Linked DNA regions of Nothobranchius furzeri. The protein of the gene in region 6 interacts with the protein of the main gene of each other region in a biochemical or structural test. Links are inferred from orthologs where the notes say so. Each region holds a gene or a part of one and is shown on either strand. Other genes may lie near its edges. The genes, in order: prohibitin-2, histone deacetylase 4, flii, sp1, nrip1b, esr1 and ubiquitin-protein ligase E3A.

The links.
Region 1: the proteins of esr1 (region 6) and prohibitin-2 form a complex in vitro, tested with the Homo sapiens proteins (3 studies listed by BioGRID). The link is inferred for Nothobranchius furzeri from reciprocal best matches to the Homo sapiens genes ESR1 and PHB2.
Region 2: the proteins of esr1 (region 6) and histone deacetylase 4 form a complex in vitro, tested with the Homo sapiens proteins (2 studies listed by BioGRID). The link is inferred for Nothobranchius furzeri from reciprocal best matches to the Homo sapiens genes ESR1 and HDAC4.
Region 3: the proteins of esr1 (region 6) and flii form a complex in vitro, tested with the Homo sapiens proteins (2 studies listed by BioGRID). The link is inferred for Nothobranchius furzeri from reciprocal best matches to the Homo sapiens genes ESR1 and FLII.
Region 4: the proteins of esr1 (region 6) and sp1 form a complex in vitro, tested with the Homo sapiens proteins (6 studies listed by BioGRID and IntAct). The link is inferred for Nothobranchius furzeri from reciprocal best matches to the Homo sapiens genes ESR1 and SP1.
Region 5: the proteins of esr1 (region 6) and nrip1b form a complex in vitro, tested with the Homo sapiens proteins (4 studies listed by BioGRID, with this or other methods). The link is inferred for Nothobranchius furzeri from reciprocal best matches to the Homo sapiens genes ESR1 and NRIP1.
Region 7: the proteins of esr1 (region 6) and ubiquitin-protein ligase E3A form a complex in vitro, tested with the Homo sapiens proteins (2 studies listed by BioGRID, with this or other methods). The link is inferred for Nothobranchius furzeri from reciprocal best matches to the Homo sapiens genes ESR1 and UBE3A.

The regions. Positions count from the first base shown.
Region 1 is NC_091751.1:35,022,832-35,026,331, reverse strand, and holds part of prohibitin-2, read left to right. Parts: intron 1-3,219; coding exon 3,220-3,349; intron 3,350-3,500.
Region 2 is NC_091754.1:47,244,973-47,249,008, forward strand, and holds the start of histone deacetylase 4, read right to left. Parts: upstream 2,801-4,036; 5' UTR 2,239-2,800; coding exon 2,124-2,238; intron 1-2,123. UniProt on the Homo sapiens protein: Responsible for the deacetylation of lysine residues on the N-terminal part of the core histones (H2A, H2B, H3 and H4).
Region 3 is NC_091752.1:64,032,441-64,036,514, forward strand, and holds the start of flii (protein flightless-1 homolog), read right to left. Parts: upstream 2,801-4,074; 5' UTR 2,708-2,800; coding exon 2,645-2,707; intron 1-2,644. UniProt on the Homo sapiens protein: Is a regulator of actin polymerization, required for proper myofibril organization and regulation of the length of sarcomeric thin filaments. It also plays a role in the assembly of cardiomyocyte cell adhesion complexes.
Region 4 is NC_091743.1:62,035,352-62,039,629, reverse strand, and holds the start of sp1 (transcription factor Sp1), read right to left. Parts: upstream 2,801-4,278; 5' UTR 2,718-2,800; coding exon 2,711-2,717; exon of another isoform or gene 2,656-2,710; intron 2,192-2,655; coding exon 2,115-2,191; intron 714-2,114; coding exon 1-713. UniProt on the Homo sapiens protein: Transcription factor that can activate or repress transcription in response to physiological and pathological stimuli.
Region 5 is NC_091750.1:42,800,869-42,804,797, forward strand, and holds the start of nrip1b (nuclear receptor-interacting protein 1), read right to left. Parts: upstream 2,801-3,929; 5' UTR 2,574-2,800; coding exon 1-2,573. UniProt on the Homo sapiens protein: Modulates transcriptional activation by steroid receptors such as NR3C1, NR3C2 and ESR1. Also modulates transcriptional repression by nuclear hormone receptors.
Region 6 is NC_091742.1:2,865,243-2,869,415, forward strand, and holds the start of esr1 (estrogen receptor), read right to left. Parts: upstream 2,801-4,173; 5' UTR 2,676-2,800; coding exon 2,665-2,675; intron 2,236-2,664; exon of another isoform or gene 2,085-2,235; intron 1,996-2,084; coding exon 1,570-1,995; intron 165-1,569; coding exon 1-164.
Region 7 is NC_091743.1:81,627,780-81,630,770, reverse strand, and holds the end of ubiquitin-protein ligase E3A, read right to left. Parts: intron 1,470-2,991; coding exon 1,349-1,469; 3' UTR 501-1,348; downstream 1-500. UniProt on the Homo sapiens protein: E3 ubiquitin-protein ligase which accepts ubiquitin from an E2 ubiquitin-conjugating enzyme in the form of a thioester and transfers it to its substrates.

The DNA.
Region 1 (3,500 bases), on a different chromosome or scaffold from region 6:
AACAGAACAACATATCTTCTTACGTTCGTAATCCTGTTTGTCTCATGCTTCAGCAGTGTGTTGTAGTCAGTGTTATTAACTGAAAAATATTAAATAATTACTTGTCTTCACAATCACATTTTCTTTATTATTGGTCTCTCCATTTGTGCTTCCATTTATGGTGCATGTTCGTGTTGATACAGCAACCAGCAACGTATTGTACAAAAAATCCCAAATAAAACTAATAATGTAAAAAGTTTATAAACTATTTCAAACTGTGGGGAATATTTTTAAAACGTAGAATCAAACAAGCTGAAATAAACCCGTCTACAGCTCGTCCTACTCACAACCAACAAGCTGCACACAGTTAGCTCATTAAAGGTTATCTAGCTAAAACTGGCAACATAAAATACCATCGTTGGCTTATTTTGGTACGAAGCGGTTAGCTAACGCTTCACAATGCAACAAAATGATGACATTTCATCAACTTACCAGAGAGAATCCTTCCGAAACACCGAAAATGAACAGTAGTCAATGCAGCAGCGGGGGCTGTTTGGAACTATTCGAAGCTACATGAACCACGTGACTCCCGCATTCCGTGACGTAACTCTCTCTACAGCTCTGACAAAACCCTGCCCTCCTCTCCCAATGATTGGACAGGAATTTGAGAAACGTGATTGGTAGCTAAGACTCGTGCTCTCATTGGTTCCACCCAAGTTCCTCCCACTGACGCTAGAATCGAGACAAAAAGATCCGTAACACTGTAGATTTGAGGTTTGTACCTGTAGAATGAAATGCGTGTTTTGAGAGTTTTGATTTCAAACTTGTACCTTGATTTTTTCAATTTGGAAGTCTGCTAGTTACAAAACGAAAGTTTCATGTTTCTGAATGAATGTTTGATGTTACTGAATGAGTAGTAAATGTTCAAAATAAAAGTTTGATTTTACAAAATAAAAAATACATGTACAAAATGAAAATTTCCTGTTACAAAACAAGAAATACAAGTACAAATTGAGAATTACAAGTTAGAAAACTAAAGTTACAAGTTACGAATCCAAAGTTACATGTGATGAAACATGTTCGGAGTTACAAAACTTGGTACAAGTTACGCTGAATATTGTCTCAAACCTAGCTCCATAGGTTTCCCCCAGAAAATGAGTTAAGCCTGGCAAATTCCTGCAGCGCTCCTCTGTGAGAGCGGGGGTGGGTGGTTGCACACATTCCGCTGCTGTTTCTCACCAGTATCAGCTGATGGAGGGCTCTAGTTTCGTTGCGCCGTCCGTGTCAGCGGACTCGGTAGGATCAGGGAGGGGGGGCGGGGCATGACCATCGACATATAAATATTGGACAATGGGTTTCCATAGGCTCCAATAACACATTTTTGAAGATAAATGGGAGGTGGCCACCACCGCCATTTTGACCGTGTCACAGGTTCCATCAAGCCCAGACAATTCCGCAAAAGGGAAGAGAGGAGGAGCTGAGGGTGGGGCTATAAGGCTGGGATCAACTGACGACACCCGGTCGAACTAGCTACAAGCTAAACTGAAGCTAACCCAAAGCTAATGCAGAGGTGGGAGCAAAGCTAACGGAGGTAGCAACCTAGCTACAACCGGAGTTAACTGTGCACAACACCAGAGCTTCTGAGTCAGATACGCCGGGCTGACCGCAGGGTAAAACCGGGTGGAACACAGAGGTCTCCCGAGAGCTCCACAAGCCGGCAGCCGCACAGCAGACAAGCGCCGCTGCGATCTGAGATGCGCAGAGCTGCCGCTGGGGAGAACCGGGTGGAAAATGTCGGTCTCCTGAGAGCTCCACAAGCCGATAGTCGGAACCCAGCTCCACCAACATGTTATATTTCAACCCATTTTCTAAAGTGCAGCATTGTGTTAAATGCACTGGGGTTTACCCTATTACATTTAAATTTCATGGTTTAACAGTACAAGTTAAAATCTAAGGCTTGGCAGTGACCTAAAATACATAAATATAATTTTACTTACCGAAAAATATGAAGTGGAGGCTCCTTGGATGCTCTATTAGTGCAATTAATACCACGGCAAGTCATTTTGTCCAACAATTGCACAAAAAATATCCAAAAAAGAATACACAAACACAGAGGCTCAAAATCCCGGAACAGTTTCCAAGCCAGGCCGAGGCTCTACTGAGGCCTTTCCACGGAGCTAGCTCTGTGGTCACGTGGGTCTGATGCTCATTAATTATACAGAATTTTAGGCTTTTAATACACTTAAACAGAAGAGTGAGAAAAAATTCACCCCCCTCAGAGTTGTCATGAGTGTAAACTAGATAATTTAAACCTAAAACATGTTTTGGTACCAGGCTGTAAACATGTTTATTTCTGCTGTGAAATTGGTATTTTTAACATGGGAGTCAATGAGGATTTGCTCGCTTCTGACACCAGCCCCCAGCGAATGAGGGTGGAACTGCAATTTTTGGTACTTCCGGGTTGGGCTCAATTTTTGAGCCGCATTGTGGGGGCTTGGGCATGACGCGTAGCCTGGCGGGTGGTCAAGCAAAGCCTGGCGGGCCGCCAGGCTTATAAAGCGCTGGGGGAAACCCTGAGAAATGAACCACTGGGTTCAAACTAAATAACAAACCAAGGCAAACATTTAGTCTGGTGTCATTTCTTACACCCTTCAGCATAAATGTGTGACTCTAAAGCTGCTCACAGAAATTAAAAGCTCATTTATGAACCTATTATGGATTTTAGAACTTAATTAAAGGCCAGAATTGGACGTGGCCTCTGGGTTTTCTGGGTTTTTAGGATTTTGTGAGCATTTGCAAAGCTTTTCTCAGACTGAGATGTGACTGTTGAATGAGGAAACAGATTTCTTTAGTTAATCTTTTTAAATGTTTAAATTGTTTTGCACTTTCACATTGTCCTAATTGTTGTGTCAAAGCAACAATCTGACATCTATTCATGGATGAAAACAAATCCAGATGAAATAATCCAGATGCATTCTTGGTATCGGGAGACAGTGAAGATCCTCACCTGTAGCCAGCTGGAATCAGAACATTGGTGATGTTAACCATGTGTTTGTCATCTTCTGGTTCCTCGTGGATGACAAATGAAATGAAACTGAATATTTGATCATATTTTTTTATTTCTGTTGGTGGTCCTTTTGGACAAGCGGTCCCATAACTAACCAGCTAACCTGATCCACCTGCTCAGAGCAGCTGGTGTTAGTTCTGGTCTCGGCCCGGCTGACGGCGTCCTCTCTGCAGGTGTCCCTGCTGATCCGTAGGGAGCTGTTCGAGCGAGCAAAAGACTTCAACATCATCCTGGATGACGTTGCCATCACCGAGCTCAGCTTCAGCCGAGAGTACACGGCCGCCGTGGAGGCCAAACAAGTCGGTGAGTAAACAGGAAGTGACCTCCAGCTGATATTCTATGTGACTAATACTGATTTATTCTAAAGAAGAAAAACTTCTTATGTGTCCTTTTTCAACCCAAAATCTCATCGAGAGCTTTGCAGATGATTTGTTGAGCTGTTTCTGTGCGTCTG
Region 2 (4,036 bases), on a different chromosome or scaffold from region 6:
GGTTCCTTTGCTCTCATAATGTCTCTTTTCTGTCTCGAAGGGCTCCTTGCATCGGTCTGGATGAGCCTGAGGGTTCAGTCTTAAAGTCCCTAATGAGAACCAATCAGAAGATGTTTCTGCTTTTGAAGACATCCTGAACTTTGTTACCACAGCAGACGTCCCAGCCAATCAGAAGCCTCGCTGATAAACAGATAGACTCTGATTTGAACACCTCTTTGTCTCAGAGCACTGACGTCAAGCCAGAGCTGGAGTTTACTGATGTGTGTGAGATAAGGACGACATGAGGGCAGCCGCCATCCGACCCAAACGGGGGGCGGGGGCTCCAGAGACATTACACAACGGGCAGACTTACCTGTATGACAGGTGTGTGTGGGGGGGTGGGGGGTGGGGGGGTCTAAAAAAAGATCCTCTTTGATCTGCAGCCTGATTTAGCTCAGACTCAGAGGGAAGAGAATCCACACGCTTCACTTTCTTTTTCTCCTGCGAGTCTGATCGGAGCGTTTGTGGATCAGAGGGAATCTCTAAAAGGCATCGGGATTCAAAGGAATCTCCTTCAGAGGGAATTCTGACAGCTTTTTCGTTTGCTTTAACTCAGCGACCTTTCCTGTCAGCGGGTTCCTCTGCACACCCCTGCACTCCTTCATACCCCCCCCCCCTACACACGCACGCACGCACACACACACACTCACACACACACACACACACACACACACACACTCACACACACACACACACTCACACACACACGCACGCACACACACACACACACACACACTCCACAAACTAATCACAATCTGTTTACGACCCCTCCGGCGCTCTCCACAACTCTTCTGGCTCCTGCTGTGAATCTATTTATACCAGACAATGTCGAGGGCTGGCGGTTCTGACTGGAGGCCCGGTTCGTGGAGCCCGGGTCCCACGGTCCGACTGCCTAAGCCCCGCCCCTTAGGCCCTAATGGATGTGGCACAGATGAGGGCTCATTCTGAAAAGTCCTGCAGCCAACAGTCACTTCATCTGTTGTCCAGGTAGAATCAGGTTTTAGCTGCAGTGGGCGGGGGGGTGGTCGCCCTTCTAATGACATCACACAACGGCGTTACGCAAAGGATCCGTGCTGGGAGTGCGCACACACACACACACACACACACACACACACACACACACACACACACACACACACACACACACACACAGAGCTAAAGTTCAGGAGGCCTCTGCAGGTGTGATCCTCACCTGCAGGGCGTTTTAAAGACTCCCAGATGGCTTCACCCTCCTCTCCGTGCAGGAGAAGCGGTCCGGGTCACATGCCACCCAGCAGCTTCGTAGCCAAGACAACAGATTCTGAGAATATCAGATGAAGATGCTCTGGTGGATTTCAATATTTTATCAGCTGAGCCGGAGGCAGGAGCAGGAAGTGAAAACAAAAATAACCTAGGAGCAGAAACGGCAGCGTGCTGGAGCGTTGGCTGCTGTCTGGGAGTCAGAATTAGGAATTAGACTCACCCAACCATCCTGGGAGGCAAAAAACCAAAAGCTGGGAGCAGTTTAAGCTTCCTTATTACAGAATTATGGGATGCACTATCCCAACACCAATTTATCCTTCCTTATCTGTGCCCCTCTGGTTTTGCTCCACTCTCCTCATCCTCACTTTTCCTGTACAATTTCTACCGGACAACATGGATCTGCATTCAGGAATACTTGGGAATGGGAACTTATAGCACTGGGAGCTGCAAGAGATTGTTTTGGGAACATTAAACGGACTCAGGAACTGACTGAGAGGCACAATGGGTTTGTTTAGCTGTGTGTGTGTGTGTGTGTGTGTGTGTGTGTGTGTGTGTGTGTCTGTGTGTGTGTGTGTGTGTGTGTGTGTGTGTGCGTGCGTGCGTGCGCGCAAACATTCGGAGTTCCAGATTTTCATTCAGCAAAATGGCAGCACCGGAGCGGCTTAAATAAAACATTGGGGATGTAAACATGGTGTCTCCTGGTCAAGTAGACGGTGTGTCCCCGGCTCGCTCACATCCAAAAAGCAAAGTCACACAGGATGTGGTTGATAGTAACATCACGTACTCACACACACACACACACACACACACACACACACACACACACACACAGATTGACCAACCTGTTGGGATGTGGTTGAGCGCCGACGTCTTGAGGACCTCCAGCGGCGGCTCCTTTCCCAGGATTCCCTCTGTGGGAGAAAGAGAGCATTCTGCTTCAAAGATGGTCCGCAGCATTGAGCCGGGCTTCCAGCCACAAACCTGCTAATCAGGCGGTTAAAACCAGTCGGAGAGAGAAAGAGAGAAGGTGGGAGAGAAAGAGAGGGAGAGAGAGAGAGAGGGGCTTCAGGTCATCTGCACGGTGGAGAGCACATGCCGCTGTGCACCTCCGAGCCCCTGAGCTGCTTCCTGATCCATGAGCAGCAAACGCTGAGGCGCGTCTGCAGGGATGCTCGGACGGAGCTAAAGAATAAGCCGGGATTCAGAGGGAGCGCTCGTCAGCTGGTGTGTGTGAGTGAGAGTGAGTGTGTGTGTTCGCTTGTGAGCGAGTTGGAGAGATGTTGGCGCTCGACTGATAGCGCCTGTGCTCAGCATAGCAAATGTGGCTAGCAGCAGCGGCGGAGAGAGGGATGAGGAGGCGATGGAGAGGAGGGGAGGGGAGGGAGGTAAAAATAGCTCACCCTTTTGTGTATAACTGCACATGCAGAGCACGCACACACCAACACAAAGACGCTGCTCCAGCGAGTGTGTGTGTATGCATGCATGTCCATGTGTGTGTAGGCTGTAATTATAGTGGCAACATGAAAAGGCTTTTGTAGCTGCTGAGCCCTGGGAAGACATGGCTATAAAAAGCTGGGGGGGGGGGGGGGGGGGCACAAAAACAATCAACATGCATCCATCTCCTCCTCCTAAATCTGTTACTAATAACTCTCTCACTCTGCATCCTGTGAGCATTTATAGTTCTACAGCACCTGGTCCGTGTATTCACACACACACCTATTTATCTATTTACATTCTGAGCATAAAGTGTACAGACATCAGCACAAACACGGGTTTGAGATTTAAAAAATAACGAGAAATCCCTTCAGAGGGGAAAAAAAGAGAAAAACAGGCGAGAGTCTCACCATCCGTGGTCTATTTCTGGAATTCTCTGTGGACTAGACTGGTGCACACACACACACGCTCTCACACACACACACGCTCACACACATGCATACACAAACACACACACACACACACGCTCACACACGCGCGCACACACACACACACACACACACACACACACACACACACACACACACACACATGCTCGCACACCTGTATACACGCACCCACATGCATGCACGCACACACACATGCTAACACACACATACGCACACACACACGCACATGCAAACACACACACACGCTCACACGCTCACACACACACACACACACGCTCATACACACACATGCTCACACACATGCACACACGCTCACACACGCACACACATATGCTAACACACACACACATCCGCACACACACACACACACGCTAACACACACAAATACACACACACACACACACACACACACACACTTTTATTATCTAGGAAGCTAGAGGATATTGGTCTCACACCACCCTGCCTGGATGGCTGCAGCGGTCAGGTTTGGTCCTGATGAAACTCGTCTCTGTGCGTGCATCCGTCTCCTCACAGGCAGCAGGAAGCTGATGTATGATGCACTAAAACCTGGTAAAGTCGATACCAAACAGGTATGGTGTTATCTGTATACGCTATGATACAATACTTGAATAAAAGAAAGAAAAAGTACTTTTCATGTGGTACAAATTATTCACCCAAAGTAAAGTGGTAGTTTACTCATGTAAACTGTATCTGCAGCGGTGTCTATTACGAATGAACGCACCCGTTTCAGGAACTAGAAGAGAGCCACGTCAGAGCGGAGCTTCACAGGCAGGATTAGGATGATTACTTCCTGATATTTGGACATTTTTCCTCTAATTGGCTAACAGCAACGTTGATGTTTTATCTCCATA
Region 3 (4,074 bases), on a different chromosome or scaffold from region 6:
AGCTGAGAAGTTTGTTCTCTCGGTGCTGGGGCTCGTTCAGACGCCCACACAGTAAAAAAATGTAAATGACGACTTTAGTCGTCACTGGTAGTGAATGAGTCAATAACTAATTTTTGTGTATTTTTATAAATTGCAGGAATGACTGAGTATTCAAACTGGAATTTGAAGGGTTAAAATCCTCAAAAGGACAAAGTTTTTGTGGATTTGAGCAGGGCTCAAGTTGTTTAACAAGTCTATGAAAAAAAGCCTAAAATATATGAATGTAAACATTTTTTATAGCCTTTTTTATGAGCAGACCGTTTTGTCCTCAAATGTCACAACAGGATAGTGTTTTTATTTTTTCATAGTGTTCCCTTAGTCTTTTTTCAAAAATCCAAATTGAATTTCAAAATTTGTCAAGAGAGAGGTTTAGCGACAAAATTTTACACCACATGCACAAACACTGCAAAAAAAAAAAAAAAAGTCGTCCAAACTAAAAGGGAAAAATGCCCAAATGGACAAAAATGTCTCCAACGACACCTGAGGGTTAAATACGCAGGTTCTGTTTTTATGTATAAGAAATGGTTAATCTGGTAATTTTGATTATTTAGTCTGAAATAGAAGTTGAAAACAATTTTTATCAAAAAAAATTCAAATATATAAAATTTGTCTGCATTTTTGTAATACTTAATAATTATCCAGCATACTAGGGTTGCACAATACATCGCATATGTAGCATCATCGCAGTATCAGCATGTGCAATACGCAAATCACAAAGAACAGAAAATAAATTAGGTCAGCTCAAATGTTTGATACACAAAACGCAATTTGTCAAACAGAAGCATGACATTTTTGTCTAATCAGTTAGAGCCCTTCACCAGTTTGGCCAGTCAGGTGGGTTCTTATGGGTTAGACCTCAAGGTGGATGGATGGCTAGCAAACACTGGAGTTAGTTTAAGTGTCGCGGGTAAGATAAATAACCCACGTTTAAAACAGCACATCTCTTATGTCAAGACATTTTGGTTACGAGAGACACAACGTTCAACAAACACAAGTACTTTGCAAGACATGCCAAACACTTGTGGCATGCATGAGGGGAAATACGACAAACCACTGTTGTCATCAACCATAAATATCTATATACGGGGCTTCAGAAAGCTAGCGTTGGCAAGCCCAAAGTCTCTGATGTTAAGACAAGAGCACAACAGCCCACCAGATGCCAATCTGTCAGAGTTTTGTGGGTGGAACGCTCTATGAGAAACCATCAAAGTGGCACAAGGAAATAACGGAGGCCCTTGCACATTATTTGGCTATGGCTTTGATGCCAATGAGTACAATGAGCCGAGAGCCACAAACGGAACAACTGGGTCAAGGGGTCCAGTGCAGTGGGTAAGTGCATTAATGGCTGCGGGAGCAAACATATCCGTTTAGCTCTGAAAATGTTCAACAGTGTTGTCCTATATGTCCCATAGCTCCAACATATTTAAAGTTTTTACAATTTTTTTTAAACAGATCAGCTAATTTTGTAATGTCAACTTTAATGATTTCATTTTGTTAGTGTTAATACTTAGGATAGACGATGGAGTGGCGTGTCTAAAGTGTTTATGATTCAAAACGAGCACTGCTTATTTAAGCATTTGTTTAATTATTGCAAGTCATTGCAATATTAATCACGGTAATCAAAGGTTTTCCTAATATCGTGCAGCTCTACAACACACACACACACACAGTCTGATAGATCCATTGTAAAACCTTATCTGACCCATGAGGCATAATTGCACTGTTTTCCTAGAAATAGCTTTAATTACTGATTATAATTATAGAAATAATGCGGCATTCACATGACGTCATACATCTATTTGATGACTGACACAAAAAGAGAAAACCAGACATTTAGAGCCAGACAGGTATTTTGTGGGTTTGGATTGAGACCCCAACTAACTGTATAATTGAGAAATGTTGTGACTGTAGCATTAAAGGCCTCTTGGCCAGGACTCCCTTGAAAACGAGGCTTTTAACCTTCCTGATGAAATAATAAATGAATATCCTTAAATTACTTATTTTTTACCTTTAATAATATGTAAAAATGCATTGACCGATTATTATTGGTCAAGCAGAAACTAATCTGAACCCACTGACATGATTAAATCCTTTAAGGGCCGGTTTTAAATTTAAATACTTACATATTTGGATTTTACACTGGTCTGCTTGCTGGTCATCTATTTGTTACTTGACGTTTAACAACTATAGTTTAATAAGTCTCCTATCAACTCGGGCATCTAAAATTCATCCACAGCTTTTATCCCACTTAAGGTGAAAATGTTAACATCATACGCTTCTGACCCAAACAAATAAAAGTTAGCCTTCGACGTTTAGCCAAATTAGCTGGGTGACGTGACGTTAGACGTAGCTAGTAGTTTGCCTCTAAACAAATAAAAACGTTCACAGAGTCAAACTAAAAGGGCAGCCCTTTCTCTAACAAAGATCTACCAGATTTAGACGAGAAGGAACAACAACTTCGTCAGTTTGACAACTGGCTAACGCCCATTGCTCCTGAGCTATGTTGGTCAGTCATTTTCTGATGAGTCTCATTCCCGCAATAGCTTCAGCTAAGCTAAAGACGTAAACTGATCTAAAAGTGAAAAACGGTGCTCTTAATCCTTACTTTAAAGTCGTTTCCACTGAGGTCGACCCCCCGAATGAAGGGAAGAACTCCGGTGGCAGCCATTTTTGACGAACTGATGTCAGTTTTTCTGTCTATTTTGGTCCTAACAGAGGTAGGGAGTGGATCCTTCTTCTTCCTTTTATTACAACCATGCCACACTCATGAGCAGTTTACCGCCATCTGCTGGCTATGTGCTGTATTGCGTCTGTGTGGGGATTAAAACCTTGCGTAAGAGCGCCCTCAAGCAGTCATATGTAAATACAACACTAAAATGAACACATTAACCGGTAGAACAAAACAGCACAGCAAGAAAGCAAAAATAAATAAATAAATAAAATAAACCCACAAACTAAATAATAAACATTATCTGCATTTGATTTGAATCATTCAATTATTTTTATTATTATTTTTTTTCAATCTTTTATTTTCATTTATTGACATAAAAATAAAAATACAGAACTAAATTGCTGCAAGCCACAATGAAAAAGGGGACAGAAAGAAGAAAAACTTATGTTGTCTGCCCCTTTTAACTAAAATAACATTAATACAAATGAAATAATCATATGATTCTTAAAGAAATTGAACAATATAGTTCTTGGACTTGTTGGCCGACACAATCTCAACCCATGAATTGAGAAAAAAAAAGAAAACAATTTACACAGAAAGAAGCATTAAGTTATAGATCTATATACATACATATATATACACATACGACTACATACTAGTTGTTTTTTTCCCTTTCATCACCCCCTCCCCTCACACATTTATGTAACGGATCTATATAAGTTAATCATTTTATTTTTTATCTCTTTTATACATTTGTTTAAGGGATTGAAATACTTTTTTCACTCTCTTTGTTTATAGTGTCACAGTAATTCATTGGGAAATAAGGAAGTACAACAAAAGACAGTCAACATTCATTGGTATAATCCAGTAATGAAAAAGAATGGGAATTTTCTGCCTTCGCTGTCAAAAAACAGAACAACACTCTGGTTTCACTTTGAACATCTTCTATTCGTTAACTCTATGTGTTTTGTCATATTGTGTTCCTTGGTTAATGTAAAACAGGAAAAAAAGGTTATTCTTTATCTTTTGCTAATTTCACACGTTCCTCAGAACCTCAGAGCTGTGTACTCTGAGTGCTCACGTTTTTGTGCGTCCTCAAAATTAACTTTCACGTGAATTTTCTTTACTTTGCTGGTTATTTATATCTTTATTATGCGTTACCCTAAAAGTTTGTAGGACTTCCTTCCAAAAGATTATCAAGAAGCTACCAAAGTGATTTTAAAAGCATGTTTTATCTTCAAAGTAAAAGCCGTATCTTTAAAATGCAGAGGGGTTATACAGGGCTTCATCAAATGTAGTCTTAATTTGAAAATCCTCTAAACGGAAGTTCCGTACGTCCAACACCGTGGTGACATCACCCTTCT
Region 4 (4,278 bases), on a different chromosome or scaffold from region 6:
CCACCCGTTTCTCCACTACCATTTGCATCCCCTCCAGTAGAACCTGTACTGACAGGCACCAAAGTGATGTTTCCATTCAAGGATACTGGCATGTTTGCCAGAAACTGGGGCTGATTTTGTAAAACACCATTGCCTAAGATGTTCTGAATGGGGATGGCTCCCTGAAGGACACTGGGCATGGTTATGATGTTTCCAGCTGCACCAGCTCTATTGGATGCAGCAATAATCTGCTGGCCATTTGGAGAGGACACTATCTGAAACTGTTGTCCTTGTCCTGCTGCAGCAGGTTCCTGTTGAGCATGTGCAAAGTGCAGCGGTTGGCCATCTACTGTCTGAAATTGGGGTATTACTTGGTACTGTATATTGGGCATCACACCTGATATGGTGGTTAGAACCTGCTGACCTGGCACAGATGGGGCCTGAGCTACTACATACTGCTGTGGCTGCTGACCCTGAGTACTTGATGGTGACAGCACCTGTCTGCTTTTGCCATTGTCTCCTGTCATCACCCCTGAGGAATCAGTGGTGATTGTGTTAGAGCCGGAGGATGCCTGAACGCTTAGAGGAACGACCTGCCAGCCGTTGGCACTGGAGGTGAAGACACCCGGGTTTATTTCCAGCTGTTGGTCTGCGGTAGAATCGTTTTCTCCGGGGGTGTCGATTCGACTGCACGTGGCTGCCAGCAAGGCCAAAGGAGACGGCTGCTGTGAGTCCTATAATCAGTATAAATGAAGATCAAACAGGAAAATGTAAACAGACAATAATAACAGAGCATGCTATCTTACATCTATAGAGACAATTGAGTGCCAGAAATTCTGATGTGAACATTTGTTGCTGCACAAGTTTTTAGCAGACTTTCCTGAACAAAATGGATGAATTTCATATTTCAAACCAATTTTGACAGTTACTGTGATACTCTTTAGCTTTTTCTACAATGTTTGGCCTTTGCTGGGATGGCTCCAGCATACACATCAGCCTTGCTTTCTAAACATGTTCTGCCAAGATCTCGTCGCTCAGCCGATCCCAGTCTCTTAGTAGTCTCGAGGATTTAGACTGGGGGGTGACCATGCCTTCTCTTGTTTTTTTTTCTATAGACTTTTGAACTCTGGAGATTAAACATGTTCCCTCCTTGTAATGCTTCAAAGCTGGATGGTTTTTGTATCACTTTTCATTTTCCGTCTGTTAGTGGCTTATTTTTGTAACTGTATATTATTACCGTTTAGTGTGCTTTAAATTTTAGGTTTCCTTTGTACTGGTTTTATGTTTGTATTTGATTTACTTACTTTTCCATTCTCTACTTTTACCTTTTTATGTGCGTCATGCAATTTTGTGTTTTGCCTTGATTGGCAGCATGAAGGTGCTTTATAAATGAATGAATAAAACTACTCATGTAAAATCACATCCCCCAAAGCCCCATGAACTCTTTTGTCCACGCATATTCAAACTGGAGAACAATAAAAGCAACCCTAATTATTATAAACAAGATGTTTACAGCAACACAAATAAAGTGGAACATAAATTATATCTTAAACCGTGCAAGGGGATCACATGTTCTAGCATATTGTATATTGGACCTGTTAAAAAATAGGAAGAAAGGCATGATGTTTCAAGTTAAAACAAATTAGGTTCCTTATTCTAAAAGAAATCTAGCTTGTTTAGTGAAAACCATAATATCACTGCGTTTAAGTCTAGCGAGTTTCATTGAAGCGCTTGTAGGGGAGTGGGCTTCACAGAGAAAACGCATTGGGTGAGGGGACATGGGAGGGAGGGACCACATTTTCCGGAGCAGCGGCGGGCTCGGCTTCCCCTCCCCCCAAGCCCACCCATCTCCCTCCCACACTTGATTTTCGCCCTATAAACTAGCACACTTCACTAGCCACCCCCTCCAAGGAGAGCCAAATGGGCCGAGCGAAACATACAAGAAGTGCCCGGGTTAGATGGGAACACCCCGTGTGGGCGAAATTTACCTGCCCAGTTCCCACCCCGATGACATGTGCTCTGGTGAGAAAATCAACAACCCGCTCAGGTCCAGACACACACGCACAGACGAACACAACAAATTCAACAAGTGGCACACACGATGAGAACGAAATGTCGCTAAGTGGTTAACTTACTTGTGAGTTTGTGTTTCGCTTCTGGCTGAATCCTCCGCCGCTCTCCACAGCGGCCATTTCACCCTGCTGCTGCTGATCTGCGGAAGAACACTTGTAAGACTTCTTGGAACATAATAGATCAGTTATACACGAAAACAAAAATCAAACAAAGAAAAACGACTACATGTTTCACAACAAGTCAACTTAAGAATGCTTTGTGGAAGATTCGGGTTGGAAAACATTTCAAGCCCTCACAAGGCCAGTTAGCTTGTGAGCTAACGTGAACTCAGCACAAGTAATAAACAATAAACTAGTTAAGCATTAATTAAGTGCACCAACGCAGTTTCCACCGTTCTGATAAAACATTACCGCTATTTTTTGTTTGAGGAATACCATAACCTACAATTCTAAAGAGGGGACAGCGTCGTTTTCTAAAGAACCACTAACAAGTAGCGTTAAGTAACAATAAACTAACGTCACTTTAAAACTGCTTCAGACTAGACAACAATGCAGCGCAAAATCCACCACTTAATACAAATAACACGATGTTGCTACGTCATACCCTTGAGTTATAAGTACGCACGTAGTATGCCTCCAAGTTTTAAAAGTCCACTTACTGCTCATAATTAGAAGACGGGAGGAGTTTCTGCTCTTTTTTCAGCTTGACAACTTTTCACAACTTCACACAAACTTAAGTTCCCCCTCCCTTTGAAGTAGGCGTATGAGTGCGTTCGATTTATGTAAACTAGATTCGAGATGGTGCAATGAACTTCTCAAACCTATTTCAAGTTAGACTACTTTTTAACTAGAGATTATAAAAATATAATTTGTGAAACTTAAGTGAGCCAGTAGATGACATTTTGAAAGAATGCTGGGTTTTCTTGGCGCTTAAATCAAAGTAAAACCGACTCCTGAACTTATCATAGACATGTACAAGTTACAAGGCAGAAATGAAACGGTAGAGTGAGTACCGCCACACATGCTGTAAATAATTCAATTCAAACCGATTTAAACTCGGAATATTTAAGATTTTTTTTTTCTTTTTCGTTTGGTAGTACGCGTACCGTACTGTGCCGAAAAAAAAACAAGCGCTCCTCAATCAGCAATACGGGTGATGGAATAATCCATTGTCCAATAGAATTGTTTGTCTCGCCTAAAGAGCACCAGTTGACTAATCTAATTTCACCATAGTTGGAGGGGTGGGCGGGATTAAGCACGGTAGGTTGTGCTCTTGAGCATGATTGACGTCGGGTTATTTGTTTTCCGCTAAAACGACGTCACTATAGTTTAGTCCACGTAAATACTGATAATTCGCTTAGCCCCGTCTTGAAGTGGAGTCAAATTTCAACAGTGAAACAACGCCAAACGTTGTTAATGTCTCTGGCCACAGAGGTGGGAAGTAAGGAGGGCTGAACGAGTGCTTGAGTCTTGCCTCCGTGGCCGTTGGCCACTCCCTTGTGGCTTTGTGAGTCGGTAAACAGTAATGTGGCGGGAGGAGTCAGAAAGGGTGGAGAAGAACCCTCATAACACTCACCACACTGGCTACTATGCTGGGCTGGGAGTGGAAGATGGTTGGACTGGGAGGGCTTTTATCTCTGCTAGGGGCTGTCATTGAAATAGCACATGTGTCCATGTATAAACATGTCAGAGGGTGGAGTCCATACATCCATACCACCCTGGCCTGTCTGTTTACACACACACACACACACACACACACACACACACACAATTGAATTTGATTGATTTAGTCAGGTTCAATATTGTGTTCAAATTGCTATGTTTAATCCTGTTATGTAGAACAATTAAGTGCCTTCTGGTTTCTATGCTTATCACAGGATTTATCTATGTTATCACTTCACAAGTACTCTAAAGAAATGCTGTTGGGTAAAAAGTTAGCACAAAAAATGTGCTAAAATCAGGAAATATCAAATAAACAGGATATAACCGGGGCAGTGCTAGTGGAAGGTGTCCAAGGTGTGCCAGTGCCACCCTGACAGCAATCATGGACCTCGTGCCGCAGAGCCTTAACATTAAGTTCTGCTTATTTGAACAAAAGCATGTCAAAGCATTTATCTGGTATAGTAGATGCTTATACAAATATTTTCTTGTTGTTATACCAAAATAATAACCCAGATAACACATTTTGTGCAAAAAAGTCATACTCTGAGACATATTGGAAAGGTGT
Region 5 (3,929 bases), on a different chromosome or scaffold from region 6:
CTCTTTTTGCTGCTAAAGTCCTCAGACCTGGCAGGAGGTGGCCCCGCCTCCTCTGTGAGCTCAGACTTTACCTTCACATCTAAGATAGGTTCGTTAGAGCTGTCACAAAGGACAGTGGTGGCAGGGCTGGTCTCGTAGCACCCCCCAGCTGCCTCAGTACTCCTCCGGTAACCACCACTGGACTTGTCTTTGCGGCTGGTGGTACTGCCGGCCGACCCGGTTCCTAAAAGAAGCTGCAGCACAGTGCGCCTCTCCAGGAGGTTCTCGATCTGTGAGGAGGGAGTGGACGGCTCCTTGTGAATGAAAGGTGTGCCGCTGCCTGATGCTCCATCTGACAGTGGAGTGGTGCTGGTCCGGTGGACTGGAGCATTAAGTCTTTCCATCAAGGCCAGGGGCCTGCTGGTGTCGATCTCCTGGCCCAGGCCTTTGCTGGAGGGGATGGGCGGGGTGGAGGAGGAGGAGGAGGAGGAGGTGGTGGTGCCACACTGGGCCAGATTCTGCAACAGTTTACTGGCACTAAAGGCTGGCTCTGAGGACCTCTCAGCTGGGAAGGCTTTAGACTTACACAAATCTAGTGGGCTGGACTGAACATGGGGGGAGGGGTAAGAATACGGGGAAAGTGCACCACTCGGGTCCTGACTAAAAGAGTAGAGGGACTGGGGCGGACCTGCTGACTTTTCTATGGAGCTTCTGGTTCTGCTCTCCTCCCAGGACATCAGTCTTTTCTGCTGACTTTGAGACATGGTGGCCATAGTTATGTCAAGAGGCAAGTCCTGTGTCCCGCTGCTTTTGCTAGCCATCTCAGAGTTCCTGCGCTCGAGCAGCAGCTGCATGAGAGTGACCTTCGGGTGGGATTTTAGGTCCGGACTCATTTCTGGCTCCTTGTTGTTGGAGACGTTTGATCTGGATGGCTCTGGTTTCCACTTGTTTATTAAAGACTCCGTTAGCTTGTCCAGGGAGGAGGTAGGGAAGGAGGAGGACGAGGATGAAGAAATAGCAGTGGATACAGAGGAGACAGTCAAAGAAGAAGGTGAGTAGGATGAAGTGGAGGGCTGAGCACTGGCTTGAGGAGAGGATGATGCTGGGGTGGAAGACAGCACCATGGTACAGGAAGAGAGCACAGAGGTGACGGAAGAGGAAGAAGAGGGAGCATTTTTGGGCCCAGTGTCTTGTGCACTAGCACTGCCACGACCTCTCATGGAGAGGTCAATTGGGGAACAGCTGGAGTAGGAGCTCTCAGCATCACTGCTGTCCTTGGTCATGCTTCTCTCATGGGTGGAGCATTCACTGTCCGACGTGACAGAAGAGGAGCCGCTTGGAGGCAGAAGGCCACCGATGTCCTCCAGGTGTCCGTTCTTGGTCAGCTGCTTCTGACTGTTGTGGTTGTTCAGCAGCAGCAGCAGCAAGCTGCTGCATGTCTGCGGTGGGCGGACTGGACGAGCATCAAAGCCTCTTTTCTCTCTGGGGGGCTGGCTCGGCGCGTGGGGAGCAGCGGGTGGGGAGCTTTGGCTGTGGCCACGCAGCAGGGATGGGCTCTGAGGACTGGACACTGCCGTCCGAGGGAGTGTTGCCATCATCGTGGTAGTTGTCATTCCATTCTGAGTTGCTAAGGAGCTTAGTGTGTCTGGAGACCCCCCAACACTTGGAGGCCTTTTGTCTGTGTCGTGCTGCTGGCTGGCCATTGCAGCCAGTCTCTCGCTGGCTGATCTCCCTGAGAGCTGGGCTTTGAGAGCATGCTCTCTGGAGTACTGCTGCAGATGTGCTTCGCTGGACAGCAGCAGAGCAAGCTGACTGCAGGCCACGCTGGGCTTTGGTGAGGGGGCGGGGCTAGAACGAATTTTCACCAAGTTAGCCACTGCTTTCAAACGCTCAGCACAGGACACCGACTCAGCAGGAGCAGCAGGAGGCGTGGCGCTGTGTGCTGATCGAGGGGACTCTGGTGGCCGGTCCTGGCTGTGTCCACGGCGGCTGTAAGGGGTGTTGTTGTGATTCTGTAGTTTGCTCTTCCGCATGAGGCCTTTCAAGCGGCTGGAGGCTGTCCCATAAACAGGTAGGGGCTCTTTGTCTGCAGCTGGAGCCTTGGCTGGAGATGGACACTCACTGGTGGGTTTACTAGTGTTCTGAGACAATGCCACATTCTGAAGCTGTGATGTGAATGACTGAAGCAGAGATGCCAACAGGGTGCTCTCTCCAGCATTAGGGGATTCCTCCAGCGTTCCGTTTTGCAGGCCTCCCACTTGGCCATTCAGGTCCATGGGGGGTGAACTCAGCCGCTGGTTCCCCGGATCATTCCACGCTCCGGAGCGCAGCAGGCGAGCCTTCTTCAGGTGTTGTGAGGAACCCAGAGTCGGTCTATTAGTTCCAGCCTTGGGCGCTATTGGAGCATGGTGAGTTAGTGGGAAGGACCCCCCCACCTTGTTGCCCTGTTGCTGATTGCTGTGGACAGCCTCGGACCTCCCGCCTGCTGTGGCCCCAGGCCCGGCCACCACTGGATGCATCAGTAAACCTTCCAGATAAGTTAGAACAGCTGAATCCTTGTGTGTCTCAGGGCCAGGCTCCTCCCCATGAGTCATGTTCAATACTCAGATCCCCTCGTATTGCTTAGCACTGCTACTGGAAAATAAATGTGATCTGGGTCATCTGGTTCAGTCATGCACTGGTTAGTCACCAGAAAGAGGGCCGGTCTTGGCGCCAGGTGAGAACAGAGAAGAGCAGAAGGATGCGCTCGCTGGACTTGGATCGTTCTGAAGAGGCTACAAGCAGCAACGTGCTGAAGAAGCAACCATGCCTGGAAGCAATCTGGGGCAGGCGGCCCTCCAAGGCATTGCTGTATGCCTATAAACGCTGCAGGACCCCAGAAGGCCAAGATTCAGGTTGATGCCAGTAGCAAGCGAGGAGTCAGCAGGAATCCACCACCATGATGTTGACGCATTCCATGGTTGTCTGTTGTTCTGTCAGTGGTGTCTCTGTAGAGCTCACAGCTGAGGGGGGAGATCTATAAAAGTGAGAGATAGAGAGAAAACAGGGAGGGGTGGTGGGGGAAGGAAAAAGGGGAAAAATAGGAAACCATGTGAGAAGCAGGGATTTGCAGAGCACTATATCACATTCATTTCCCCACCTTGTCTGCCATCGCTGTTACTTAGCAACATTTCAGATTGACTGCACACGGCTCCTTCTCTCTGCACTCTTCCCTCACAGCCACCCAACACACAACACATGTAGATGAGCCTTGATTGGATTCAAATTGAAAATTCAAGCTCACTACCTTGAAAACATTCAGGTCTTGAGCTGTAAGCCTCTCACGGCTGTGTCTTTCAAAAGTGAAGGGCCTTCTGAGAGCTGTGCATAATTCTTTATGCAGCTTGCCATTTCACTGGATTAGCCCCCCCCCCCCCCCCCCCCGACTCCGTTTGCAATTGAGCTTCATCTAAAACCACACAACCCTTCATCTAGCTACAGTAAGAGCCACCCACCCACCAACAGAAGCACGCTTGCTTAAATACACGAATGAGCAGAAGTATGAGGACATACAGTCTGAAAACACAGAGGACACCGTGAAATAGTCTCTGGGCATTAAACAAGTATAAAGTATTAGGTGAATACATCTGAATTGTTGCATAATGTCTTTAATAATTAAGGTCTTAGCTCAGGCGCGTGTTAACACAATGCCAAAGAGAAAAATCATCACAGACACAAGGAGCTCCATCTCAGAAGCCTATATTAGCACGTTTAACGTTAAATGGCTGATCAGCTGAAGACACAAAGCTCTTTGTGCTAAAGACAGGGCAGCCGGGCCACGCTTATGTGTGGAAAGTTACCCTTGATCAAACCACAAGGTTTCTGAAGCAGCAACTACTGGGCCATAATGAACAGGATCAAGTCTGGAGATCTGATGAGCTGTGATTTAAAAAAATTAGTAACATCAATGC
Region 6 (4,173 bases):
ACACCCCATAGTGGTACCCAGAGGCGTAGTCGCTGCACACGGCACAGAAACGTGTCTCTTTGGCCATCTCAAACCCCCCAGCTCCGGCTCCTAACTCCCCCACACTGAATGCCTCGTCACGGGCGTCACACTGGTCCTCTCTGGAGGCTGGCTGGTGACTGGATCTGCAACGAGTCATGAATTTTAATTTGTTGATTAAACTGCGGTACTCATAAAACACTATAAATAACAGTTTTTTATTAGCATATGAGGATAAAAAGCAATGTTTAGACGATTATGCAGAACAAATACCAGTTTTGTCATTTTTAAAAGTGTTTAGAGCCATTAAATCCATTCCAGATGAGAGGTGAACCTTTGCATAGTGACTTTAAAAATGACAGAGGCCTCGTGTTTTCCACCTGAGACTGCATGTGCACTTGTGTTGTTCTTACGTATTGTTCCTCTCTCAAGGTCCTTTACCAAGTCCTTAATCTCTGGAATTAGAAACCCGGACAGCGCTTGATCCTTTACAGAGAGATAATAGTGCTGTTTTGTTTGAAGCTAGAGATAAAAAGCTCTGCGATTATTTAATTATGTTTTGTTTTAAGGCGTTTTAACGACTCAACCAAACCGCCAATGCTATACACTGCAAAAAGTGATTTTCAAAAAAGCTAAAAAAAAGTCTTGATTTTGAACATTTTTTCTTATTTATGTAAAAAAACGTTATCTGCAAAAACAAAACTAATTGAAAAAAGTTTAATATTCTTAAATATGACCAAGTTTTCTTATTTTGAGTGCAAAAAATATGAATTTATCATTATATTAACTAGTGAATAAATCAAAGAATATTTACCTCATTACATAAGAATGTTTTTTTTCTTAGACTAAAAATACAGGTGAAACTCTGAAAATTAGAATATCAAGCAAAAGTTTATTTATTTCAGTAACTTGACTTAAAAGGTGAAACTAATAAATGAGATGGACTCATTCTATGCAAAGCCAGATATTTTAAGCCTTTCTTTGTTATAATTGGGATGATTGTGGTGTACAGCTTATAAAAAGCCCCGAATTCAAAATCTCAAGACAATCGGAATATTGTGAAAATGTTCCATATTCTAAGCTCAAAGTGTCACACTCTAATCAGCTAATGAATCATAAACATCTGCACAGGGTTCCTGGGCCTTTAGATGGTCTCTCAGTCTAAGATGGATCACAGAAATAAATGGGCTTGAGCACGATATTCTAATTTTTTGAGTTTCACCTGTAAAACAAAATGTCTAAAAGCAGTTTTTCATTTAACTTTCTTGTGATTTTTTTGTGGTAAATTAGAAATAAAGTGTATAATTATGCAGCAGTAATTTGCATCAAAATGAAACCATGAAAAAAATTGGGGAAATACACCCAAATAAGTATTTTTTAAATATATTTTTTATGAAATGGCCTCCTAAAGTCTTTATTAATAATTGACTAAACTCATCTGACATTTTAGATTGACTTGATCTTAGCAGTTCTATCAAGTCCTGCTCCAGCCTGTGCTCACCATCAGTGATTAACGAGTGGTGCACGCTCGTTTAAATTCAAATCTCATACCTGTAGATGGGAGTTGAAGCAGCTTCCAGATAGTGGTGACCGGGAGGGTGCATAAAGGGGCTGAGTCTTGGACTGGTGGGCACAAACACCAGAGGACTGGTTGGCCCACTCCCCAGAGACTGCAGGCTGCCATCAGACGGAGGTCCATGGGCGTCCAGAGGAGCAGAGTAGTACCCTGTGGTGGAGCTGCTGTAAAGAGGAGTTGGGGCAGGGGTGGGGGCGGCGTAGTCGTACGTCCCCTCTAGGAAGTCCACAGCGGCGACCCCTCCAGAGCCTCGGCTCTCTTCAGGGTACATGTCGCTGAGGAGGGCACGGGGCGAGGGTGAGAGCCGAGGTGGGGAGAGGGTCTCCAGCTCTGAGGAGGCTGGGCTGATCCTGGTTCGGAGCGCTGGTCCAAACTGCTTCCTGCTCTGCAGCGGGCTCTGCCTGAACATCACAGCACAACAGCACTGATAAGCAACATGATTTAGACCCGCTCTCCCATTTGTTGGGTGGGAGAGAGGAGTACTGCTCACCCTCTCCTTCCTCTCTTCTTTCTCTCTCTGGATCTCGTCTCTCCTAGAACTCCTGTCAAGCAACTTGGAGAGACCTCTGAGTCCTCTTTTGCTCTGTCTGCCTTCAGGTTCTGCTCAACAGGCTCTAAAAAAAAGACTCCTCCCAATCCACTTCGTTATTTTTTTCCTGAGTGTAGTGTTTCCCTCTTTTCCTTTAAAGTGTGGGAGTCAGGGAAAGCTGGTGGGAGAGAGGAAAAGACAAGAAGGAATGACAGAAATAGTGATTCCCAAATAACTTCCCCGTCTCCTCTCCTCCACATGGCCATTTCCACTTCACCTTTGCATTAAATAGCTTTTAGCGGCTGCATCTGGATGCCAGACAGGAGGAAACTCTATAGCAGCACGACTATCTCTGAATATTCTTCCTTCATTTAGATGATCCTGAGCGCACAGCAAAGATCCCCGCTCTATTTGCAGCCTAATGACTAAATCCACCTGATGCACGGCAGCCGATCGCTGTGAAAACGGGATAAAAGTAAACAGCTTCACAACTCACGAGCTAAAAAACAATAAAAAAAATCCTGCATGAGACTCCACTCACCTCTCACACATGAATCATCCTCAGATATGCTGCGCAACGGCGGCTGATTTCCTTCTCCCTTCCTCTCTGCCTGCCTCACAGGCATCTAGATGGGCTCGTCGGACTCGCTGGGAACAGTGGAAAGGTTTAAAAACGGATAAACAAATTAAAGATGCAGCCAAATCAATAGCCATGGTGCGTTTAGGAGCCAGGTCACCATAACACAGCAAACAAAGCGGGAGGTCAAATCTCATTCTGACGGACAATAATTATGCAACCAAGTCCAAATAAGGGTGTAGATGGATGTTTTTTACAATAGATGCACAATCTAAGTGATCTTTCTGTGAAGTTTAGAATGAAACTGCAGGAAATGGAAGGATTTTTCTGGTTCTACAGGTTGGTGTTGCGTCATAATGAATCATCAGCAGCAGATTAAAAAGGATTTGTGCAAAGATGCGAGGGGACAGTTTTTGTTTGTGCAGTGCAAAAGTTTCAGGTTTGGGACCATCAGGGACCTTTGATGTCCTGGGATGTTGGGGAAAAGACATCAAGGCAGCAAATACTCAGAAAAAGTTTAGATACTTTAATCAAATCCCAAATAGGCTCAGCCGTCAAATTAGAAATAATGTTCTTTTAAGTTTAGGGAACAAGATAAAGCGAGCATAGATGCTACAAAAGCAGACGAGTTGCAGCAACCACTGGAAAAGACCAAAATAACTGGGGCACGGAGCTTTCTTTCATCTTCACCTTTTCTTGACTTCACAGCATCATCTTCAGGAGATGTCAGGTCAAGTGGAAAACAAGTGGCTCTGATGATTTACGTAGCATTCTGCATTTCTCCTGAAATAAAATTAAGATGGTGGGAAACAGCAAAAGCCAAGGGTGAGAAACGGCTGCAGCAAATCGCCTAAATGGCACAAGATAGGAAGCTTCCGGCAGTAAATGACTCCATTTTCCTGAAGGACCACCATGACAAAGCCTGAATTTTTTTTGTAGCTCATCCAGAACGTTGCAGCATTTTGTGACTTTTTGGTGCAAATTTCAGCTCCTAGATGGAGCCTGTTCCTGATCTTCATCAAAACAATCAAGTGTTGGCAAAAATCTTGATCCAGTTTTCAAAAACTGGATTTGACAAATCCAGTATTCATGGTTCCCATCCGTCTTCTGTAAAAAGCATGACAATGTGGGATAAGGTCCATTCACTGCAGTTATTTATTTAGTTTTGCAAACAACACAATTTGCTCCATGCACCCAAAAACCCAGTAATCACCACCAATTTAAAAAGGACAGGTTTCATTGAGTTGACAGAACTGTGTGCACATAAGCTTCCAGTTTTATCTATGAAGTAAAAGAGGTCTGGTTCCACTTTCACACCAAACAGGACGAATGTTGTCGCCGTTATTGTTGCACTGCCCCCCATAACACTTTACCATCCCGTAAACAGAGGAACTGGTCATAATGCAGCGCTAGTTCGCTTGATTTAAGCCGAGGTTTTCTCGTTTTGATGCATTCCTATCACTGGCACTGAGA
Region 7 (2,991 bases), on a different chromosome or scaffold from region 6:
CATTGGCGGAGTGCTGCAACAGCCGGCTTATGTATATGCATGAGATCCACAAGGCAATTTGCATTGACTATTTATGGCAGTAAGTGGGCGTGGTGAGGGCGGGATGTGACTAAAAAGCAGCTGAGAAACATTCTCGTTAGTCTCCGATTTATGAAGCGGAGATTGCGTGCAGCTGTGCGTACTCCACTGGATCACAAACCTACTTGGCGTAAGTACATTTTGTTTCTGAGCTTAAGTAGGGTTTTAGTAAGGATTCTACGCAATGTTTGATAAATGAGACCCCTGGTCTGTTGGAAAGAAACTCCACTCTCCTCACCTGCTGGTGATGGTTGAAGGGTCTGATGGAGCTGAATGTGTGCCCCTGGGCAGCTGCGGCTACACCACCACTAGTGTGTGTGTTGTAAGTGCCTTGGGGGTTCTGGGACTCTAGATGGCGCTTTATAAATAAATGCAGGTGCGTAGGCACCATCCACTGCTGCAGTTCCAGCTGCACTCATATATAAACACTGGTTTTGTTTTTATTTGGAATTGTCAACACAGGAAGACAAGGAAATGAAATGCTCCAAACAATAATGGCAACCTGTGGCCAAAGAAACAAACATTCTGAAAATGTCTAAGTGCACTTTACACAGCTCTGACAAGATCGAATCTAACCAACAGAGTCCCCCCAGAATACAAACGAAAAAAGCCCAAGCACTAAAAAATAAGCTACAGATTTACGATAATGTGCCGTTTTGGACCAAAGGACAGTCCTCCCTCAGATGCTTACCTTAATCATTTTTGTGTCTGTGGACACAGAAAGCAACAGGAGTGGGTGGAATGGTGAGTGAAGGCTCTCTTCAGAGGGGAGTACAGGATCTGTAGTAAAGGCTACTCTAAACTAGATCATAAGATTGGATAGATCAGGGTTACTTTAGCAAGGTTTTGTTCAATAAACTGGTTTTATTGACTTGACACTGTCCCAAATGTACATGGATTAATAGGAACCCTCCCCCTTTCCCAGAGTAGGGAAGCTACCACAACAGACAGGCATGGATGAACCCATTTTAACCTTCAAATAAATAATAAGGAAAATGATCCTCTCTGTACATGGAACATAAAGGAGGGGGTGCTTCAGGAGGTCTCTGTGCTCTCACTGACGGATGTAGGATGATGCAGGCACAGCAGCAGATGTAATAGTGCGCTGGCGTACAACCACGGGTCCTCTCATTTTCACTGATGTTTCCTTCTGGACACACACCCCCCGGCGTGGGGGGTGATCAGTCACCGTTTGGACTGGTAAAACAAGGGCGGGGCTTCATGGGCTTTCTGAGTAGGAGTCTGTTAGTAGCAGGAGGGGGCGGGGGGCTCAGAGCATGCCAAACCCTTTGGCATAGGTGATGGCTTTCAGCAGTCTCTCTCTCAGCTTGTCCTTGCTGCTGTACTCAGGCAGCAGCAGCACGTTGAAGCAAGTGTGGGACGTGGGTAACCTGGAGACAAAACACACAACACAGCTGGGGTCACCACTCACTCCCACTCAGGTTACACACGAGTCATCAGGGGCTTTTGTTTTCCAGGAGTCATTTAGGGTTGGGCATCGAGCATCGATTGGAACCGGTTGAAACCGTTAGTTTTCCCCAGAATCGTTCAAAGTTTTTTATTTCGATTCCTAGAATGCCGACTGGAAGAGGAATCCGCGGCCGATCATGAAAAATAAACGTGATCTGCAAATTGTGATCAACGCTTTTCAGAGCTGATCACACCAGCTGTCTGTGTGCAGCACCGAGTCCCCCCTCCCCCCACCCAGATATAAACAAACACGTCTGCCGAACTTTTACTCCGTAACGTAAACTTTACTCCTGCAGCGTAGAGGAAACGTGTTAAAATACGTCAACACGGTGGATTTAACAGAAGCTTTAAAGAACTCTGGACGGTGTGAGGTGAGTTTGTCTCACTGCTGAAATAAAAACACACACGGAGCATCAGCAGTCAGATGCAGCCGCTCACCAACACTCGTGTCTGTTAGATTGTTACTGACAGCAGCTACAATTAAGTTTCACTTTCTGTTCTAACTGAATGCTGCTGCTGCATGGAGGTGTAGTTCTCAGTCATCCTGGACATGATCTTCCTGAGAGTTTTAGCTGAAAACAGCTGGACGTTTCTGGATATGTTGGAGACATTAAGCCTCTCATCCCAGAGGCTGCTTCCAGACTTTGGTTGTGGTCAGAAACAAACACACTGGTTGTGCTGCAAGTCTTTCTTTTTTCCTCCAAAACATGTTTCTGTCTAAATGAAGGTGATGTTGTTGTTCATAGAGTTAAAATTAATGTTGAAGTTAAGATTATTTCATCAAGCAGGACCTGTGGTTAGCTGGCTCATGTAAAACATGCCATGTCTTGAAAGAACCGGAATCGGGAATCGATAGGAACCGGAATCAAACTGAGGAATTGGAATCGTTCAAAATCAAACAATGCCCAACCTTAGTCATGTAGCAGATATGAGGAAGAAGGTACTCTGGTGGGACCAGACCAAAATCAAACTTTTTATGGGTGGGTGTATACAAATGCACGCCACACTGGTCAGATTTTATTTGTTGTAACCATGCAAGAGTTTCATCCCACATAAAGGTGCAATTTGTGAGAAATAATCCCAAAAAGGTCTAATGTCTGTCAGGTTGGAAGAAAGGTGAAACTGGAACCGATGTCCTTCTCACACAGCTTAGAGTCTGTCAATGTTTCTCTTTTTGAAAAGAAGAAAAGTGGGACGTAGTCACCGTTTACACTCAGAGTTTGTGAGGTTGCCGAATCTGCAGTGAGCTAACTCAGCAGCTCAGGCATTTGTAATTCAAAACCAACAGGCAAAAAGTTGTTTAAAGGACAGTAGCCTGTAAACAGGAGCAACCCAGAAGTCATTTCTTGTACCCCTAAGAAGCCACAGCATCTTTTTGTTTTACTCAAATTTCAGGAGAAGCAGGCTAGAGGCTAACAATGCGCTAACAATGCTAATGGTGAA